Lepisosteus oculatus: one gene and its partners. The protein of the gene in region 2 interacts with the protein of the main gene of each other region in a biochemical or structural test. Links are inferred from orthologs where the notes say so. Each region holds a gene or a part of one and is shown on either strand. Other genes may lie near its edges.

The links.
Region 1: the proteins of mmp14a (region 2) and lum interact in a biophysical measurement, tested with the Homo sapiens proteins (2 studies listed by BioGRID and IntAct, with this or other methods). The link is inferred for Lepisosteus oculatus from reciprocal best matches to the Homo sapiens genes MMP14 and LUM.
Region 3: the proteins of mmp14a (region 2) and timp2a form a complex in vitro, tested with the Homo sapiens proteins (2 studies listed by BioGRID). The link is inferred for Lepisosteus oculatus from reciprocal best matches to the Homo sapiens genes MMP14 and TIMP2.

What each region holds. Positions count from the first base shown.
Region 1 is NC_090702.1:16,445,515-16,453,398, forward strand, and holds the start of lum (lumican), read left to right. Parts: upstream 1-4,865; 5' UTR 4,866-5,006; intron 5,007-5,581; 5' UTR 5,582-5,704; intron 5,705-7,884.
Region 2 is NC_090699.1:13,065,829-13,072,928, reverse strand, and holds the start of mmp14a (matrix metalloproteinase-14a), read right to left. Parts: upstream 3,102-7,100; 5' UTR 2,549-3,101; coding exon 2,435-2,548; intron 1-2,434.
Region 3 is NC_090704.1:41,266,154-41,273,192, forward strand, and holds the start of timp2a (metalloproteinase inhibitor 2a), read left to right. Parts: upstream 1-3,935; 5' UTR 3,936-4,432; coding exon 4,433-4,562; intron 4,563-7,039. UniProt on the Homo sapiens protein: Complexes with metalloproteinases (such as collagenases) and irreversibly inactivates them by binding to their catalytic zinc cofactor. Known to act on MMP-1, MMP-2, MMP-3, MMP-7, MMP-8, MMP-9, MMP-10, MMP-13, MMP-14, MMP-15, MMP-16 and MMP-19.

The DNA of each region.
Region 1 (7,884 bases), on a different chromosome or scaffold from region 2:
TTTTAATTATTCAATTTTTAATTCCCAATTTTTCAGTGCACACAACATATTCCCAGGGTTATATGGTTATATGTACCACAGTTTTAAGTACCACAGTTTTAAACCACTGGATTAAAGCATTGCAGCAAAGCTAGAAAATCCTTAGCTAAATTGGAAGACTATGAATCCACTGTATGTAGTAGTAAATAAACACTATTACTGTATATTCCAACAGTATATTTATTGAGAACACAAAATATGGAAGAAAGGGACCAGTGGTGACAAAAGGAAAATATTTTAGTTTTTTTAATTGAACTAGTGACTTTTGCTTGTGCATCTTTGTGCCATTTGCTTTTCTTTTATTACTCTACCCACTGGGGCCCATGCTCTCTTTAAACAAATTTCCACCTTCTGGAGCACCATGGACAAAGGTGGTTTAATTTAGTGCAGACCTTTCTTTGTAGTGCACTTCTTTTCCTCGAACTTAATAAATTATTGCTCTGAAAAAATAACTATAAAGAATGTCAGTGAGGTTTTTTATGTGCAACATTGTTCTTCTGATTAGAAGACTGGACTTTTTTCTCTTTTAATCATTTTAACAACTTTTGATACTGTGGAGTGTTTGTTTTACACCATCGTTTGAGTACAACGTAACTAGATTTGACATGAATATGTTATGTGATTGAAAGGGCTTGTAGGACACCATACAGTTTCAATTTATCAGCTTCTTCATCTGACTCACTTCCAAATTATTGGTACCATTGATAAAGATGAGCAAGCATATGCTGTATAAAATAAATACGTGTAATAAGTGAAATTTTATGCTCAAAAATATAAAGAAACTACATTCTCTAGTGTATAGTGAGGAGGCAAAGGAAATTGTAAGGTCCAGAGGAGACGTGCTGACCTTACGTTACATCTAGGGACCACCAACTATCCAAAACTGCAGTTAGATGACGCCTCCATGCCAATAGATTATTTGGAATGTATAACAGAAAAAAAGATCCAAGAGAGTTCCAAGAGGTCCAAGGCTAGAGGTCGGAATGCGGGTTAAGCAAGGCAAACAAATCCAAAAAAGGGCGAGACGAAAGGGTTGTCGAAAGGTCCCAAGTGTCAGTGGTCAGACATTTGAGGACGAAGCAAGCTCAGGAGGCGGATAGATTCCTAATAACAAGCGAGGACTAGGAGTGAACGGAGGGTTTAAATAGTGAAGGAAGAAGAGATTGAATAATGAGGATTAATTGATGCCGGCTGTGCTTGTGACAAACAAATGTGTTGGAGTTTGCTAAACAGCCTCAGTAGTAGATTTGAACTGGGTGCTATGGTCAGCTGAGATGAAAAAAGAGCTGTATGGGCTGTACAGCAGCGGTGGATCCTACATCAACAGAAGGATACATATACAGAAAAGAACATAATAATCATTTTATTTGTTTAGAACCTTTCTACATTAAAATGCAGCTCAAATTGCTTTACATAGTGAGCATAAAATAACACAAAATATGAGAGGATACATAAAAGAATATGATAATAACAGTAATAGCAGATATAAAAATAAATGGAGTTTATAACTAAAGTTCAGGAGGGATGACAACGACCACGCTCAGTCGTACTCAGCTGTCAGTAATTAACAATCACTCCCATCACTCCCTCACGTACGACTTTTGCATCCCACCTCCACCCCAGCTCCACCTCCATAGCTACCCCTTGGTTACCCTGCGTGGGGGTCCTGGCCTCCTTGTCCTATGGCCAGGAGGTCGACCCTCAGTCAAGCGAGTTAAGCCAATATCTGCTCCATAATAGTTCATCACACTTTGATCTTCGGTGTAAAATTCCTAGTGAAATAGTAAAAACAAGAAATTAAAGAAAAATTGTATTGATGCAAAAGAAAAAGATTAAAGATAATTAAGAAAAATAAAATGTCAACATAAAATACAAGGGAAAAATATAATTAAAGCCAGCAGCTACAGCAGTATATCACCCTAGATATAAGGTGATATAACTCTCTATAGACATAACTGGCAGCCTACTGAAACTAAGCAGGTGTGAGTCTGGCCAGTACCTGGATGGAATACCTTCTGAAAAAAGCTAATATTGGTGTTGGAAGAGGTGTTAGTGGGGCCAGCAGGGGGAGCTCAACCTGTGGTTTGTGTGGCTTCCACCCCAATATAGAGACAGAGACACTATACTGTAAAAGGGCGCTGTCCTTCTGATGAGACATAAAACTGAGGACCTGACTTTCTGTGGCCATTAAAAATCCCAGGGTGTTTCTAAAAAATTGTGGGGTGTTACCTCGGCGTCCTGACCAAATTGCCCCCTGGCCTTTAGCACTTATTATCTCCTAATAATCTCCATCTATGAATTGGCTTTATCACTTTGTTCTCCAATTATAGCTGATGTGTGGTGAACATTCTGCCACATTATGGCTGCCATCACATCATCATGGTGGATGCTGCAAATTGGTGGTGGTGGAGGGGAGTCCCCATTACCTGTAAAGTGCTTTGAGTGAAGTATCCAGAAAAAATATTATTTATATAATATCATCTTCTTCTTTAATACATATACTCTATATGCTGGACAGGACACATACTATAATTACACATAATACTATATTATATGGTTAAAAAAATAAAGTTCATATTTTTATTTGAAATTACATATTTATAAGATGAATTTTATGGGGGAAAACATGTCAGTTTTTATAAGATTTCAAAGAGGATCTATTAGAATTAGCTAAGATAAGAAATATTGTCTGAGACAAATGTGTTATACGATTAGATAAGTATTAAACCATTTTAAGGCAGTTTCAGAGATACGATTCCAGTTTTCTAGGTGTTTCAGGAGTATACAGGGTCTATAGTGTTTAATCCTACACGGAAATCTAAAAGTACAGAATTGAGACATCGTCAGCATGCAGTCTCAGATCATTTACCACTTTTACTATTTGCAGTTTTGGTGCTATGACAAGATTTTCAGGAATATTTTGTTTATACAGGAAGTCATTTAAACACTACCTTTTCTAAGATTTTGCCAGAAAATGCAAGCTAGAAATGCTCAAAATTAAGAAGTCAAAATTACTTTTCTTAAGCAGGGGTTTGACTAGAGCAGTTTTAAGTTCTTCAGAAAAATACCTCTTTCTAAGGAACAGTTCAAAATACCTAGTACACTATTAGACTATCTAAGACGTCTTTAAATAAAAATGTTGGAATCAGATCAAGAGAGCAGGTTGAAGAATTTAGCTTTGAGACAATGAATGTAGTCACAGCATACCAAGGTTAAGTAACTGTAGGATTATATGCTAGTTCAGATGGAGTGGCTTATACTAGATTGAATGTTTGTAGTTTTCTTATCATAAACAACACAAACCTCTCACATTTTGATGAAGACACCAGGATAACCCAATCAGTGGGGGGTGATGAGTTTAATAGGCGATCAATAGTAAAGAATAATACTCTTGGATTTCTACCACTATCATTAATGATCCTTGAGAAGTACAGCTGCCTTTCAGTAGTATTTCCTTGTTATATATGTCTATGCACATTTTAAGTATTTCTTTGTGAACTATTAATTTGGTAATGAAAAATATGGTGGTGAATCAGAGCTATTATGTGACTATTTTGCTTCTACTTATTCCTGGGCCCTTGTTAAGGTCATCAACATCATGAATTCTACCAAATACCAAGATATTTGTCTGGCAGTGAAATGTCTTAGGGGTAGGCTAATGACCCAAAGCACATATTAAAATCCATAAAGAAATGGTGAGACAACTATAAATTAACATTTTAAAATCTCAGTCTCTGGACCAACTGAAAACCTGAATTAAAGAGGGCTGTCCATAAGCCCAGACCCAAGGATATAAAGAATCTGGAATGATTCTGTATGGAAGAATGGGGGTGTATAAGATCCCTCCCAATATGTTCTCCAGTCTCATAAAACATTATTGGAAATGGTTCAGTGCTATTATCATGCAAAAGGAAGGTTACACAAAGTACTGAAAGCAGGGGTACCAATAATTGTTACACTTATTTTTTCGGATATCAATTTTATAATTTGAGAAATGTGGAATTTAGCTTTCTACCATTGAATCATTAACAAAGTCAAAATATACAGCATTCTGCAAGTTGGAAAATTTAAACATAGCTCATTACCTGTGATGTTTATTTTATACAGACTTTTAAGCTCATCTTTATGAGGTGACGATAATTTTGGACATACTGTATGTATTACTAAAAGGAATTGTGATCAGTGGACTAGGCAGGTGTTCATAAGCCAATACTGAATCATAACAACCTATGTTTGAGACGTTTTGTTGTCGTTTTTCATTACAAAACTATAAATGCAGTGAATAATTTAATAATTAATATAATACTGTATATCTTTTTCTAAATATGTTTTAATTGTTTCCGTCCATTATTACTATTGAATAAGTAGCTTTGAAAGCAAGTGTAATTTCTTTGATTAAACATTCTCATAGCAAAAAAAGCATAAAAAATGAATACAGACTTTGCAAATTTTGTCATCACCATAGAAATTCATTTTTAGTCTCAGATTAAAATAAATTTACAGTATAATGAAATGAAACATCTTTTAACATTGAAGGTATATTGTAAAGAATAATATACTTTGACTCACAGTTTTCTAAATTTGCTAGAGAATGAGGTTAGCTGTAGAGGTTCACATTTGCATCTGAAGATTTAACACCCAGCACTCAAGCCTGCATTCTTGTTTGGCATGCATGAAAAAAAAGAGAAATGGGCTATACTCAATTGATTCCAGACGTCAGTAACATTTGGGATAGAGGGGGGAGGGTATGAAGACAGGGGGAGGAGGGGGAAGAGAAACATCTTCAAAAAACAGAGTTCTCCCTATCAAAATCAAAAACTAACCTTTGCCATTGTTTCATTATTCCTGATGAAGTGCAGGGTAAAACTGCAGTTTAGAGTCAGATGCTGCTGATAATGAATATGGGCCTTTTGATGTGAAAGAAGATGAAAAGAAACTGAGATGTGTTGATTTATGTTTTGCCATCTGTAAGTTATTGGACATGGTCCATACCTTGTTTCTCCATGGAAGGTATTACGTCTTCAAAATAGAGAAGAAGGGAAAAATAAAGATTTTGGAAGTTAATAGTATTAGTATTAATTTTAGTTAGCCCATTCTGTCTTTTTTTAAATACAATTCTCAGCTTTGACTGCTGAATTATGTTTCTCTAAGCCATAGGCTGTTGGCTCCCAGTAAAGGCATCAGCTGATTTTTTTTCACCTTTTTCCATTTTTTAAACTATTGTTTGATTTTTCTGGAAAGGTGATTAAGAGGCTTACGGAAGTTTGTGAGGCTGCTTTTTTTAGCACACAGATAAATTATTTTATGTTTCTTCGAACTAATTGAAGTTTCACTAAAAAAGAACAGATGCAGCCAGGTATGCATATGTAATTCCTCTCTTATAAGACACTGAAGAATCATCGCGGTAGCAGATGTGTGACCCTTGTGCACCTGCATTTCGTTAGTGAGCCATATTTTTCTTATGCCACACCGTAAGCCCATATTGATGACATAGCAGCTTTATAGTGCTGCGTGACTACATTTGGTTGCTGTGTTTTGTTAGCTCAGGACCACAGAGGTCTGGCACGGGCTGCTTGCTTCCTCCTAAGCCCCTATTCCGACAACGAACGCTACCTTACTGCTCCTGAAGTTGGGATATCAGACACACCATAGAGGTGCAAAGAAGGTAAGTGCTTTTGCAAACGTGTCCTGCAGTTTATGGGTACTTTTTTTCTTATTCCCATCTGAAACTCAGAATGCAGATGGACTGTGGATTGAAAAAAAAACCACTGCAACTCCTCTGTAACTACAGACTGCAGTGTGTAGCAGTGTATAAAGGTGTAACATGTAAATGGAAAAGTTACATATTGGAGTTCCAGTTGTACTTATGTTTTATAATTTAGATAGCAAAATATGTTGACTTTAGTTTCTAACTAGTATTTTTGACAGGTTTTAAAAGACGTTTGCAATCTTAAGCATTTTATGTAGGTAATCTATAGATGCTTCACGTTTGTCTCAGACAATATTTCTTGTCTTATCTAATTCTGATAGATCTTCTTTGAAATCTTAAATATAAATATATTTATAAAAAACTGGCATGCTTTTTTTTTCATAAAATCAGCTTATAAACGTGGACTTTTTTATAATTTATAATATGAGCTTTATTTTTTTACACTTATAGTCTTATGTGTAATTATAATATGTGTCCTGTCCAGCATATAGAGTATATGCATTTAGGAAGAAGATGATGCTACTCATATCTATTGTTTATCTTTGCTTTCAGCATATTATCTACATATACTGTACATGAAATGTGAATGCCCAGAAAGGTTTAGAAAATTCTATTACTTTTTGCCAGAGTTTGGAAAAGTTAACAGGTCCATCTGACTGTTTTATGTGTAGCTTCAGGGGATGTCTATGATTACTGCAGGTGTTCAGACACAAGTCAAATTACTGTTCTGGTCTTATACTGTAAGGTAGTTTTATGGTTTAACATAGCAACATTATAATTGTTTTTCTTATTTTCATTTGCAATGAACTAGAGACAAGGGGCATCAGATCCATCTGCTTTTCTTAAACAAGGCAGAGAACTTTGTCATTATTACCATGTTAAAACCATAGTAGAACACAGGTAAACATTGCAAGTGCTTCAGATGGTCACAGAGCTCATTAAATATATGGTGCAGAAACAAACTTAAAGTTTTACACTTGTATGCATATTATAACATATTTGATCCTAACTTTTGCGAATATATTTTTATATTATTGATCATTAGGTGTATCAGCAGAACATCAAATGAATGTGCTGTGCTTGGCAAGTGATTGACAGAGATTTTGATGATGATGAGCATCTCTGTTTGGAGCTCTGGCTCTTTTTTTTCAGAAGCCCTGCAGGCTTTAAGTTCTTGAAACACAAGCCACTGTATATCTATCTGAGGCTCCAATAATGGGCTTGTACTTGTAGACTGCATTTTTTGCTACTGTCAGTCACAAAAATGTAGAACAATTTTTACCATAAATAGCAAATTTGGCTTATAACAGCCTATGACTTTTAAGAAACTGTAAAGTACTTCCAGTCTGATGTAGCTGAGTGATGAAACATGTATAGAAAAATATATATTTAGAGGTTGAATTAATGTACTGGATATACTGTATATAATTTATTCTTTTTAGTTCTAACAGCTTTTGCTTTTATTGAAATGCATGTTTGATAAGAAATCAGAAATTACACTAATGAGGACTATTTAGTATGTAGGGAAACAATCTTACTTCTGAACCCTTGGGTTCAGTTCCAGTCTTATAATTATTAAGGCCTCATGACTCATTAATAGGAAACATATTCTCAAGACGTCACAAAATGTTTTTAGTGGCAGGAGCACAGCTATGGATAACAATAAAGAACTATAGAAATAATAAGAAAAGGTGTGCGAAAGATTTGCTTATTTCAATGAATTGTTAACCAAAATAAAATCATTTAATATTGTTTATACAGTACACATATAATATAATCAATTATGCAAACAAGTAAATTAAAAATAAATATCCACGATGAGCACATTCATATTGCTTGATTGTGATATTGAACCAGCAGCAGTAGTAGTAATAACAACAATAATAATTTTATTATTAATAGTGATGAAAGTGATCACTTAAAAATGTATGATTTGCAAAGACTATACACCTCAACTTTTCATGACCTTTACACTGAAAAATTAAAAAAAACAGTTTTATGTATCATTCAATATTTTCAACCCATTGCACGATGTACAACTAAGTTGGCAGGCTTTAGGATACTGTGTAACTGGAAGCAATATACAGTTTTTTTTTTCAACAGAAATGAGGTCCTAGAACTATCTGAAACAATAC
Region 2 (7,100 bases):
TGAATGGAGAGGACTGGACTCTCAGACTGCGTGTCTGCAGAGAGGACTGGACTCTCAGACAGCGTGTGTACGGAGAGGACTGGACCAAGATTTGTTGTGAAAAAGCACCTCAGCACATTTCTCACCCCCCACACAAGTGTTTCCAGGTCCACTTTAACTCCATTGAGCATCTCCTGGCTTTGTGATGACCTGCTTTCCGTCTCTCTCTCCTTCTCTTCCTGCTTCCCTCTCTATCCCTCCCTCTCCCTCCTTCTCTCTCTCTTCTTCCTCACTCTGTGTCTCCTGCTGGAGAGACACTAACAGAACCAGTGCAGAGATCCCTCTCTCTCTCTGTGTGTCTCCTGCTGGAGAGACACTAACAGAACCAGTGTGCAGAGATCCCTCTCTCTCTCTGTGTGTCTCCTGCTGGAGAGACACTAACAGTACCAGTGCAGAGATCCCCCTCTGTGTGTGTGTGTCTGTGTGTGTGTGTCTCCTGCTGGAGAGACACTAACAGAACCAGTGCAGAGATCCCCCTCTGTGTGTGTGTGTGTGTCTCCTGCTGGAGAGACACTAACAGAACCAGTGCAGAGATCTCCCTCTCTGTGTGTGTGTCTCCTGCTGGAGAGACACTAACAGAACCAGTGCAGAGATACCTCTCTCTCTCTGTGTGTGTGTGTGTCTCCTGCTGGAGAGACACTAACAGAACCAGTGCAGAGATCCCCCTCTGTGTGTGTGTGTGTGTGTCTCCTGCTGGAGAGACACTAACAGAACCAGTGCAGAGATCTCCCTCTCTGTGTGTCTCCTGCTGGAGAGACACTAACAGAACCAGTGCAGAGATCCCCCTCTCTGTGTGTGTGTCTCCTGCTGGAGAGACACTAACAGAACCAGTGCAGAGATCCCCCTCTCTGTGTGTGTGTCTCCTGCTGGAGAGACACTAACAGAACCAGTGCAGAGATACCTCTCTCTCTCTGTGTGTGTGTGTGTGTCTCCTGCTGGAGAGACACTAACAGAACCAGTGCAGAGATCCCCCTCTGTGTGTGTGTGTCTCCTGCTGGAGAGACACTAACAGAACCAGTGCAGAGATCCCCCTCTGTGTGTGTGTGTGTGTGTCTCCTGCTGGAGAGACACTAACAGAACCAGTGCAGAGATCCCCCTCTCTGTGTGTGTGTGTGTCTCCTGCTGGAGAGACACTAACAGAACCAGTGCAGAGATCCCCCTCTGTGTGTGTGTGTGTGTCTCCTGCTGGAGAGACACTAACAGAACCAGTGCAGAGATCCCCCTCTCTGTGTGTGTGTGTGTCTCCTGCTGGAGAGACACTAACAGAACCAGTGCAGAGATCCCCCTCTGTGTGTGTGTGTGTGTCTCCTGCTGGAGAGACACTAACAGAACCAGTGCAGAGATCCCCCTCTCTGTGTGTGTGTGTGTCTCCTGCTGGAGAGACACTAACAGAACCAGTGCAGAGATCCCTCTCTCTCTCTGTGTGTCTCCTGCTGGAGAGACACTAACAGAACCAGTGCAGAGATCCCCCTCTCTCAGCCCCTCTACCCCTCCCTCTCCTGACCACAACAACACAGTCCTCACATTCCTGTCTCTTCCCCTTCTCCTCTCTCCACAACTTCAACCAGTCCTCCTCCTGCCTCTGCTCACAGCAACACAGCCTCCAGCTAAAACCCTCTCACTGTATCTGTCTACCTCTGTCCCTCTCACTGTCTGTCCCTCTGTCTCTCTCTGTCCCTCTGTCAGTCTGTCTCTCTCTGTTTCTCTATCAGTCTGTCCCCCCCCCTCTCTCTCTCTGTCCCTCTGTCTCTGTCCCTCTCTATCTGTCTCTGTCAGTCTGTCCCTCTCTGTCTCTGTCCCTCTCTATGTCTCTGTCAGTTTGTTCCTCTGTCTCTGTCCCTCTCTATCTGTCTCTTGTCAGTGTGGCCCTCTGTCTCTGTCCCTCTCTATCTGTCTCTGTCAGTGTGGCCCTCTGTCTCTGTCCCTCTCTATCTGTCTCTGTCAGTGTGGCCCTCTGTCTCTGTCCCTCTCTATCTGTCTCTTGTCAGTGTGGCCCTCTGTCTCTGTCCCTCTCTATCTGTCTCTGTCAGTGCGGCCCTCTGTCTCTGTCCCTCTCTATCTGTCTCTGTCAGTGTGGCCCTCTGTCCCTGTCCCCGTCAGTCTGTCTCTCTCTGTCTGTCCCTCTCTGTCTCTGTCTCTCTCTATCTGTCTCTGTCAGCCTGGCCCTCTCTCTCTGTCTCTGTCAGCCTGGCCCTCTGTCTCTGTCAGTCTGTCCCTCTCTATCTGTCCCTGTCAGTCTGTCCTTCTCTATCTGTCTCTGTCAGCCTGTCAGTCTGGCCCTCTGGCCCTCTATCTGTCTCATGACATCGCTTTCCCAGTCCGCCCGCCCGCTGTGAGACCCCGGTCTCCCGTGTCTGACCGCCCCCGGCGAGAGACAGGAAGCAGAGCGACTGACCTCCGCTTTGAGCCCGTGCCCGCCGGCCGCTCCCTGCGCCCCCGGGAGCGCGCACAGCCCGCCGGCCACCGCGAGCCACAGCAGCCGGGTCAGCGCCGCCTCGAGCCGTGGCATCCTCCTCGCTCGCGCCGGATCCCCGCCTCGCGTGTCCTCGTCCGCCGCGAGTCCCGACTCTCTCTCCTCCTTCCTCTGCCCTCGGTGACGAGGCTGGATCTCGATCGGGCTCTGTTTCTGTCTCCTAAAAGTGGCGACCTAGCAGGGTTTCTCGAACCCGCCTGCGTCAGCTGTCCTCGACTGCCACGGTCACGCGAGCGGGAGACACGCGTGGGCTCGCCTGCAGACCCGAGAGAGAGAGAGAGAGCGCGCTCTGCGGGCGAGTTCAGGCAAAAGTTGTCAACTTTTCTGTAGCTCCTGAAAGAGAGGGTTTTTTTCCCTTTTGTTTCTGTGTTTTTGAAAAGAAGTTGTTCTACAAGTTTTTTGCGAGTGTTTTCTTTTCTCCGGGAAGACAGTCCGTTAGCTCCGCCGCTGGAATGAGGCCCCGACTGTCTTTCCTCGTCTCTTTCCTTTGTTTGCTCGCTCCTCGCTGGCGTCCTGGGGTTCTGTCTCCCTCTCCCTCCCTCCCTCTCTCTCTCTCCTGCAGACGTGGTGTTTCTGTCCCCACTAAGTCTTGATGCCTCTAGGAAAAGTAAAAAAAAAAACTTCCGTTTGGTTTCGCCCAGCCCCCAGTCCAGATGTGCCTCCCTCCTTCTCCCTCTCTCCCTCCCTCTCCCTCTCTCCCTCCCTCTCCCTCTCCCTCTCCCTCTCTCCCCCCCGTGCTCCAGCTCCACTCCTGCCAGCGAACATCAGCAGCCTGTCGCTTGGAGACACGCGGAGAGATTGGCGCACCGCGGCGCCACCTGGTGGTCAGCGCTCCGCTCTGCCTTCGCAGGCAGGAGTTTATGAGTTCAAAACCTGTATGAACCCCTCTCTCTCAGTGCAGTGTTAATGTACTGGAGTGTCCAGTCAGTCAGTGTGTCTGTATGAACCCCTCTCTCTCAGTGCAGTGTTAATGTACTGGAGTGTCCAGTCAGGGTATCTGTATGAACCCCTCTCTCTCAGTGCAGTGTTAATGTACTGGAGTGTCCAGTCAGTCAGTGTGTCTGTATGAACCCCTCTCTCTCAGTGCAGTGTTAATGTACTGGAGTGTCCAGTCAGTCAGTGTGTCTGTATGAACCCCTCTCTCTCAGTGCAGTGTTCATGTACTGGAGTGTCCAGTCAGTCAGTGTGTCTGTATGAACCCCTCTCTCTCAGTGCAGTGTTAATGTACTGGAGTGTCCAGTCAGTCAGTGTGTCTGTATGAACCCCTCTCTCTCAGTGCAGTGTTCATGGACTGGAGTGTCCAGTCAGTGTGTCTGTATGAACCCCTCTCTCTCAGTGCAGTGTTAATGTACTGGAGTGTCCAGTCAGTCAGTGTGTCTGTATGAACCCCTCTCTCTCAGTGCAGTGTTAATGTACTGGAGTGTCCAGTCAGTCAGTGTGTCTGTATGAACCCCTCTCTCTCAGTGCAGTGTTAATGTACTGGAGTGTCCAGTCAGTCAGTGTGTCTGTATGAACCTCTCTCTCTCAGTGCAGTGTTAATGTACTGGAGTGTCCAGTCAGTCAGTGTGTCTGTATGAACCCCTCTCTCTCAGTGCAGTGTTAATGTACTGGAGTGTCCAATCAGTCAGTGTGTCTGTATTAACCCCTCTCTCTCAGTGCATTACTGAGAGACAGGCTCACTGTCTGTTCCTCAGGTTGTGACAGGAGATCACACACTGTATTATTATTATTGAGAGACGGGCTCACTGTCTGTTCCTCAGGCTGTGACAGGAGATCACACACTGTATTGTAATTATTGAGAGACAGGCTCACTGTCTGTTCCTCAGGCTGTGACAGGAGATCACACACTGTATTATTATTATTGAGAGACAGGCTCACTGTTCCTCAGGCTGTGACAGGAGATCACACACTGTATTATTATTATTGAGAGACAGGCTCACTGTCTGTTCCTCAGGCTGTGACATGAGATCACACACTGTATTATTATTATTGAGGGACAGGCTCACTGTTCCTCAGGCTGTGACAGGAGATCACACACTGTATTATTATTAGTGAGAGACAGGCTCACTGTCTGTTCCTCAGGCTGTGACAGGAGATCACACACTGTATTATTATTATTGAGAGACAGGCTCACTGTTCCTCAGGCTGTGACAGGAGATCACACACTGTATTATTATTATTGAGAGACGGGCTCACTGTCTGTTCCTCAGGCTGTGACAGGAGATCACACACTGTATTATTATTATTGAGAGACAGGCTCACTGTCTGTTCCTCAGGCTGTGACAGGAGATCACACACTGTATTATTATTATTGAGAGACAGGCTCACTGTCTGTTCCTCAGGCTGTGACAGGAGATCACACACTGTATTATTATTATTGAGAGACAGGCTCACTGTCTGTTCCTCAGGCTGGGACAGGAGATCACACACTGTGCTGCCAGTTCAACTGAGTTCCCTCCTCCCGCTCCCAGTAGGATTGGGACCCGTTGTGATTCTGGCAGGTGTGGGAATTCTGGGATTAGATTTGTAAATTTAGGGAAGAATGTTTCTCTGATCCCTAATTTCTCTCTCCACTACTGTGCATTAACCACACTCTACTACACTGTGCTATACTCTGCTATGCTCTGTTCTGTGCTGTCCTGCACTCCCGTCTGCAGGAATCTTTCCTGGCTCCTTTCCCGTGAAAGCCCAGTGTCCTGACGGCGGAGTGCAGTCATTACGACTTCACTGGAGTCTCCGAGACGCGGGTGCCGAGCGGGGCCCTCTGGAATAGAGCGCGGGCGCCCCCTGCTGTTACGGCTGGGTATCACACGGAGGTTCAGTCTGGTGGCGCCCGTCTCCGTGGGGAACGTCCCCCAACAGTAGTTATTTGGGGGGTGCGCACGCCTCCTCCCCCCCAGACGTGAGGCCGTGTGTAAGTAGAGCAGGGCTTCACGGCCTCCGTCCGGGACTCTGAGTCTCCGGGTAGTTGAAGCTGTTTCATCCACTGGGGGTAACGTGTCTTACACACAGTCCCATACAACAACACAACGTCACCCACCGAGCGGACCGTACACCAGGTCTTTCTGTTTTCTATTTTGGCGGCGCTTTTTGTGAACTTTTGCTCCGGCTGTCGAAAAGGTGGGGTCGCCGGCTGAGAGCTGTCCGGTCTCGAGCCAGGGAGCGGGCTCTGAATTAGCAGACAGGAAGACGCAATTCAATTTTCAATTCAGTTCGAGGTGCTTTATTAGCATGACCGATGGATACAATCAGTGTTGCCAAAGCAAATAAAATTAATAAAATTCACATGAAACAAAACAAAAAATAAAATAAAATCTACAGACATATTACAGACATTTACAACAAAGACATATCATAAAATATTTAAGTATACTGTAAACATATTGAGCATTATTGGGAGACAGACTCACTGTTCCTCAGGCTGTGACAGGAGATCACACACTGGGCTGCCAGTTCAACTGAGTTCCCTCCTCCCTCTCCCAGTAGGATTGGGACCCGTTGTGATTCTGGCAGGTGTGGGAACTCTGGGAATGTTTCTCTAATCCCAGAGTATCTGTCACAGTGCAGTAGGAAGTGCACCTCTGTCTCTATTTCTCCCTGCTGGCAGTGGGAGCACAGCCTGTCCTCTCTGGACAGCCAAGTCTGTCTGTGTCCAGTTTCTGTGTCCAGGCTGTGGTCACTGAGCCTGTCCTCTCTGGACAGCCAGGTCTGTCTGTGTCCAGTTTCTATGGCCAGGCTGTGGTCACTGAGCCTGTCCTCTCTGGACAGCCAGGTCTGCCTGTGTCGCCCAGTTTCTATGGCCAGGCTGTGGTCACTGAGCCTGTACTTCGTCAGGGTCTGTTTCTGTTTGTTGTTTCTTATCTTGGTCAAATATTCAGCTAGTGTGTATTGTCTGTTTAGGGTTCAGTAGAATCCCTCTGTGTATGAGATAACGTACTTCACCTGGGACTGCTTCACCTGCACTCAAAGACTGAGGGCAGAAAGGAGTCTGGACAATGACCACAGCCTGGACACAGGCAGACCTGGCTTGCCAGAGAGGACAGGCTCAGTGACCACAGCCTGGACACAGACACTGGACACAGGCAGACCTGGCTTACCAGAGAGGACAGGCTCAGTGACCATTGCCTGGACACAGGCAGACCTGGCTGTCCAGAGTGGACAGGCTCAGTGACCACAGCCTGGACACAGACACTGGACACAGACAGACCTGACTGTCCAGAGAGGACAGGCTCAGTGACCACAGCCTGGACACAGACACTGGACACAGACAGACCTGACTGTCCAGAGAGGACAGGCTCAGTGACCACAGCCGGGACACAGTTAGACCTGTCCAGGGACAGTTACGCACCGAGAGGGAGGGAGTGCCGGAGAAGTGGGGCAGGTCTCTCTCTCTCTCCCTCCTCCGTCACTCCTGCGCTCACAGCTGAACACGGAAGTCCCAACTCCCAGCCCTGCGTCAACACGGCCGCCCAGCGGGACGAGGCGAGGAGACAGAGCCGGGGACGCGGCCGGGTGGACAAGCGCCTCGGGGTCGCTGGAGGTCTGTTGGAAGCGGGGCTCACGCCTGCGGGGGTCTCTGGGCCGTGTC
Region 3 (7,039 bases), on a different chromosome or scaffold from region 2:
CGTCTCCCATGTAGACCACATCAGTGTGATACAGACATGGGAGCCAGGCTAAATGTTTGTGTATTGGGGCTCAGCCTTCCTGCGCAAATATAAATAAGTGCGGGAAAGATGTGGGTTTGGCTCTGTGGGTCTTAAAAGCAAAATTGTGTTGGCATATTTTCCCCTGGATGTGTCATTTCCTTTCATTAATTGTACTGCTTGCATCGATCGGCAGATTTCACCGGAGAGTCTCAGCTGTCCATCACAAAACAAAGACTGGCCAGCCCTGTGTAACAACAGCACTTTCACGTAATTGGCCTTATTCAGCTTTACTGTGCGGTGCTGTCAGATCTATCGTAGATCAGACAAAGAGCTCGAGATAAAGGGAAAGTCTAGACAGCCTGCATAAACCTGTGGGTTTTAAATCTTGTCATTGAAGGCTTGACTGAAAATAACTTTGCCAAGATGTCCTTGACAAGTGATGTACTGTACAGTAGCTGACAAAGGTATGCTCCCATAAGACAGACAGGCTTCCACAAATCTCATTTAGGAGAATTTCTGAAGAACCTCCCATGCAAAGGATAACAATTTGTATGGAAGTATACAGAATCTTCTGTCAGTCATCTCCAGTGCTTTGCAAAGATTTTCACCCCCTGCCAGCGACAGCCCAAAAGGGTGAGTTGCAAAATCATGTGCTGTGTGCGCTTTCTTAAAGTGAGTATTTTTTACTTGAACCTTGAACACTCAAACTTAACGCCTTTTGGTGGAGAAAGATGTCGAACATGAGCAAAATCTGCAAAAAAAAGCCAAACTATGATAAACCTTGTTCACAAGGCTGCTGGAAAAGAGAAACGTCTTGGGTGACTTCACGTTTGTTTTAAACATTTTTTGGGGGAGCAACTTCACCTGAACAACAGTGATCTGGGGCTGAAGCTCTGGTGGATTTCTAGGCTTATAGAGGTCACATATGATATATCTTTTGTTTGATATGTAATTTTCATGTTGTACTTTCTAGCTCTAGGGACTCTGATATTTTTCTATAGATAACTATAGTTGAAGCTCATAAATATTATGTATTTGGGGATTAGGTTCGTTTTAAGTCAAAATAAAACTTTAGAGCTTGGGTATATTCCCACATCATTGCAGCCTCATCATTTACACACACGGAAGGATGTTTATAAAAGTTTACCATGGAACACTTGACACATGTTTGTGGCTTTATAATGCTGATGCCATGCAGTTCCCTTGCTCAGCCAGAGGTTGGCCTATACCACGCTTCCTCAAGCTTTGCAGCAATATTCCTGTGCTTTACCAGACCACACTCCAGTTTGAGCTATAGTATATCTCAATTGGGAGTAATAATGTTGCAAGTTTATATGAGATTGCGTTCCTGCTTATTTTTGCCATTTTAGGAGGAAGCACCAGAATTGGAATAGATAAGTGTATACAGCGATACCCCCAGAAACTGCAAGAATGCTGAGCAACATATTTGCTGTGCTTTACTTCTGCTGGTCACACCTGTCACTATTGTACTACCATGCTGGGCTGTGCCGGACATTTCTCAGATTAAAGCCCCAGTGCGTTCATCCATCCACTTTCTATCCAATACAGGGTCATGTGGGAGCCAGAACCTGTTTCAGCAAGCAACAGGCGCAAGGCAGACACCAGCACACACTCACACTTGGGCATCATTTTTCCAGAAGCCAGTTAACCTACCACGATGTATTTGGACTGTGGGAGGAAACCAGAGCACGCAGAGGAAGCACAGGGAGAACATACATACTCTACACAGATAGCACTGCAGGAATTGAACTCAGGGCTCCCGCTGACCACTGTGCCACAGTGCCACCCTGCCAGTGCATGTGTGACATTCTTTTTTGCCCCACCGTAGATTGGGTTATTTAATAAAGATCCAAGAAGACTATAATCTAGCACTTCCACTCTCCTATGTATAAATAATAGCCAGCTGCCCACAGCTCTGTGCGCCTCTTTTCTAGCTCAACTCCACCCCAACTGCACCCTTGCAGCTGTCTCCCTAGTTCATTCCTCATACATAAGGGAGGTTGCGACAGCAGTGATCTTTGGCTAGGAGGAGTATTAAGCACATTATTCCTGTCTATACATCGGCTCATTTGGTCTTAATAAGAATTTCAAGAAACTACTGAAATGTAGTTTGTTGGATATGGAATAAGGTTATGGAACTTATGTATGGAATGTTTGTCACAAGCGAGCAGCAAACTCTGGAATATAGTGTGGTGTTCTACGAGACAAGATACTCATAACCACGTGATGCAGTTCAGTAATGGACAGCAACTGTTTTTTATTAACTTGCAGAACAGTGGGGGGGGGGGGGGGTTGACTTAGTGGAGTTTTTAAAGGGCTTCTCTGTGCAGAATTAAAGAACTTTGAATACTCATTGTGGCTGAGTCCTGTTTAAGCACTAAATGGTAAAAAAAAAAAACTAAATAACAGAAAAACTGCGGAAATGCTTTCCCAGAAGCCCAAGGCAGTCACTATAGTGCTGCCAAGAATAATGTCAGTGATGTAATGGAGGAGCTGCAAATACGCACTATATTTTCCAAATTATTTCTTATTATTATTCCTGTTGTTTTCATTACTTGCATTCTAACCATGGGTCTCAGAACAGAATTTTGGGATTTTGTTTTTTGGGGGGGGGGGGGGTTAGTCTAATTGCTGGGAATTTCAAGTAAAGACAGGAATGTTGGTTTATAGGGAAGAAGGAAATGCCTAAAGGACATAACCATAATGTTTTATTCAGCAAGACAAAAATAAATCACCAAAGAAAGAACTGAACCCAGATTGAAGCGATTGTCTTTAATGGGATGATGTCACCTCTTTCTGTGTTGCTGTGCCATTCTGTGGTATTTTGTCCCAGAAGCTGTCTCGGCTGCTGAAGTCTTGCAGTCACTGTGAAGCTTTGGGCAAACTTTGCTACTGTATAAGGGATACTGTTACTCACAATAATGCATCTGGAATTCAGCAATCCCATTCCACAGACAGACACTTTAAAGGAGGTGCAGTTGAAGAGAATCAGTCTTTCACTCAGTGAATCTCAACAGCTAATGCCTCCATGCTTTTTTTAAAAAAATCCTACAGAACGAAGCCAGACAGCAGGGGGATGATGGTGATAGTCAATAGGATCTTGGGGTTCTTCCTGCATCAGAAGCAAACCCCCAAGGCTATCTCCCACTCTCCAAGAGATTTTTTGTGGCCATACTGAAACATTTTGAGTGATCGTGACAGCTGTCCCAAGAGGCAAACCACTTCTGCAGTTGGAACAGTCATTCCTCTTTCATCATTTTATTGAGCAGGGGATGAAGAACTTAAAATTGAAGATGAAAAGCTGTAAATACCACACAATCTCTGTCTGAGCTGCGGCACCTAACTTTCCGCGGTGTGAATCATGTTGATTCCATTCGTACTCCCAGATATACTCAGTTTAGGACCATAAGAGTGTCTGGACAGCCTGTCTGAGTCTTGGGAATCTGAGTGTCCGAGTAAGGCCTAGAACCATGCTCAGTCTTTTCTGAGCAAGTGGAAAACTAAAGATCAGGAAAGAACCTACAGCAGATGCTTAGGCCTTGAGCCCCATCGAAACCCTGCACAACTGACACTCCCACGGTTCTAAAATTCCTTTATGGTTTGAATTGAGATTAAATAACACATTTCTGAAGCTGAAGCGACTGTAGTGCGTTTTTAATTTTCATTTCTACATTCTGCTTCAAGAGCATTTAAATGAGACACCCCCCCAGTCCCTCGGAGTAAATATTATCGCGCGTATTGGACATTTTCAAGTTTAAAGCAGAACTGTCACGCCTCATGTGCTATTTCGAAAGCTCTGTAGTTTTTTTTTAATGCAGTGAATACACGAATGAGCCCGTTTCCGCAAGCCTTCTTTAATAAAACGGTCGCATACGGTGATATTACAATAGTTGGCGGCTCCGAAACGCGTAAACAAATGCTGGGAGTTGAGCACAGGGGGAACACGAGCAGACGAGAGCTATCTGTGGTGCAAGCCCAGCGCCCCCGACTACTGAATGGGAGGAGCCCCAACAGCAAACCATAAAAAAAATGAGGCTGATCTCAGCGAAAAGGAAACAGACAGACCCGTAGAAGGAGAGTGTTGAGGAAAGGCGGCTTGAGAGAAAATACTGGTAGTGGTCGCGTTTCCCCACCTCCCCTACGGCGCTGCTCAGTCCTGGTGAATTTCTGCACAGAACTGTCGACTGCAACCTCTCTTCTCAACTGCTGCTCGAAAACAGCAACTTCGCTCGTATTTATTACTCTTTGTTGTAAAAAAAAGAGAGAGAGAACCCGAACATTTTTTAAGACGGGCTTTTTTTTTTGTTTGTTGTTGTTGTTGTTGTTTCTCTGCGATCCGTAGACGTCAGGTTTTTCTTCTGCGAGGTGGTGACGAAGCGAGGAGACCAAAATGAGTTGTACTGTTAGCAGTTTCTTCGCCACTCTGGCGGTGCTGCTTCTGTGGCGAGTGAAAGAAATAGCGGAAGGTTGCAGCTGCTCACCCGTCCACCCACAACAGGCTTTTTGCAATGCAGATGTAGGTAAGATCACGTTCTGATTTACTTCTATATTCGCGCAGATGAATGTGACACGTTTCCACGCTCCTGTAACCCGCTAGGTAGCGGTCTGTTGTATTAATTGTTTTAAGCTGTGACAGTGTCGGAATGCAATCCACAATCCACAATCCACAATCCACAAGTTCAGATTCAGTCAGGATCGTTTAGTTTGCGTGATGTCTGGATGCCATCTGAAACAAACGCACTGGGCATTTCCCCACTCGCGAAATATCGAACCCAACTTTTAACTTGTGAGATGCATCTAAATTAACTGTAACGTTAATCTCTGTGAGAGAACCGCGTTTTTTTTTGGGGGGGGGGGTTGTTACCTGAGGTGGGGTGCGTTACACGAACTCCTGCTGTTGTCGATTTTGTTATTTTAAAACGGATTCATTCGCGGGGGACGCGTCAAGAGGGGTCAAGATCAACTGCCTCGCCACTAAACGTACAACTGGCAAGTTTAAGTCACGAAGCCACCTGTAACGGTGATGTCGGGGTGTTTTCAACAGGACAGGTTTAATGCATCCCAGAAGACTGGGTATGTCTCTACCTGTCTCTTAGCCTTGCCTCTTTTTAAAATGGACTGCGTTACGAAACGCCTCAAGTGCCCAAAACGTTTGCAGTGCACGTTAAGATATTTTAATGAGTCGCAGATATGATGGACGTTTTCTTTGCTGTCGGACCGATTTCTTAGATCTCGATTACTATTGTTCACGTAAAAATGTAGCGCACAAAAACAATCACACACACAGAGAGAGAGAGAGCCTATATAAATGTGTCTCGTATGTTGTAACTCATTGTAGTGGTTAGTATTTTGCTACCGATGTCAAATCGTGATTCGCGAACTGCGATAGTCGTCTGATACAGGAAGTCCTAGAAAGAAAACTCTGGAAAAGTTTGCAAGGTCTCTGGTAAACAATGTATTCCGTTTGCGTCCTTTTAAGTCCAACTTCCCAGATTCGCACTGTCATTGTGTGTTCATTTCCAAATATTTACCCCCACCACAATATGAGCCTGAAGTTGTGAAGGTGTTGGTAAACAAATAAAAACGGCCAATGTCGATTTTTACAGATTTTGCACATTTTTGTAATGGACATTTGTAAACAAATTGGTAAGATCACATCTTTGTTTATCATCGCTTATGGAAAACTCCCCCATGCCTGTCATATCTGCCCTGTTTCGTGTAGACGTGTTTGCCGGGATCTGGTGGGGTGTTTGTGTTTTGGGTGACTGTCCGCCGTCTGGCTTGGCTGTTTCATTCAGTGTCGGGCAAGTCGACAACTCGCGTCCCTCACTCGTTACGTCTTCAAATCGTTCAGGTTTCCTGTTTTCGGTAGAAGGGATTCTCGGGGAGCTGTTGAAATGGAGCTGCGTGTAACATGTAAAACGGTCAAGATTTTGAAATCCCTATACCCCCCCCTCGCCAATCAGCGAACTACCCCTGGTGCTGTCCTCGTAAAAGGAATGCTAATTAGGTCTGCGAGACTCGTGGAAAACAGCAGTTAGCGTTTATGTTTTGCGGTTATGCTAATTTGCAATAATCTATCCATATCTTTTTTGAGTGTGGAGTTGGTCGGGATCTGTACTGGATTTGTTCAGATAGGCCTGCATGTTGCAGTTGCCCTGGGATTCTCTGGTGGTTTGGGCCTGAACTATGCGGATTTCAGCCCGTGGATAAATGAGCTGCGCATTTCAAGCGCTCCTGAATGACGGCGCACATCCCAGTTTTGTGAAAGCGCACGTCGCTTGACTTTCTGATTAACAGCTACGGAAAGCAGGCACGGCGACCGTGGGGAGTGAATGTGTGTGTGTGTCCCAGTCTGAAGGTTGCTTATAATTAAACACCGAAGGGTTTAACTTCATTTTAAAAACGATTTCAACTAGAAGACCGTGACATGACATATATAAGTTTGATTTGCATTTGTGCTTTTACGAATATGACGCTGCGTGTTGTTACTACTACATAAGACGTTTTTGTCATTGCCCCCCTTTGTCTTTGAGGTTGCCTTGGTGGGGAGTCGGTGTGCTTCACTTAGGGAAATTATGGAAAAGTGACGTTACGGGTTCAGCTGGTGATCTGCTGAAACTGTAAAGGCGGGATAGGTCCAACAGCTGAAATTAAATCCCCTGATGTGTCACTGGTTACTTGTGACTGAATCATTGCTGGGCGTATCTTGGCTTTGTAATTCAGTTCCTTTTGATTTCAAATGTCAGGCATGTGCTAATTACAAACAGATCACTAGTGCTATTGACAGTTTTGATGGCTCTTTTTGTGCTTAAAATGTACTTTTATGTTGCTAAAAATGGGCATTTCTGAAAAGCAAGGCTCCCACAGAACAGATATATCACAGGATATGAATAATCACCTAAGATGCAGCTCGTATGCCAAATACAGAGGAGTTAAAAAGTTTTCATAATCCATTAAGCCACTCCTAAAGCGAGTCTGCTCCATGATACGCACA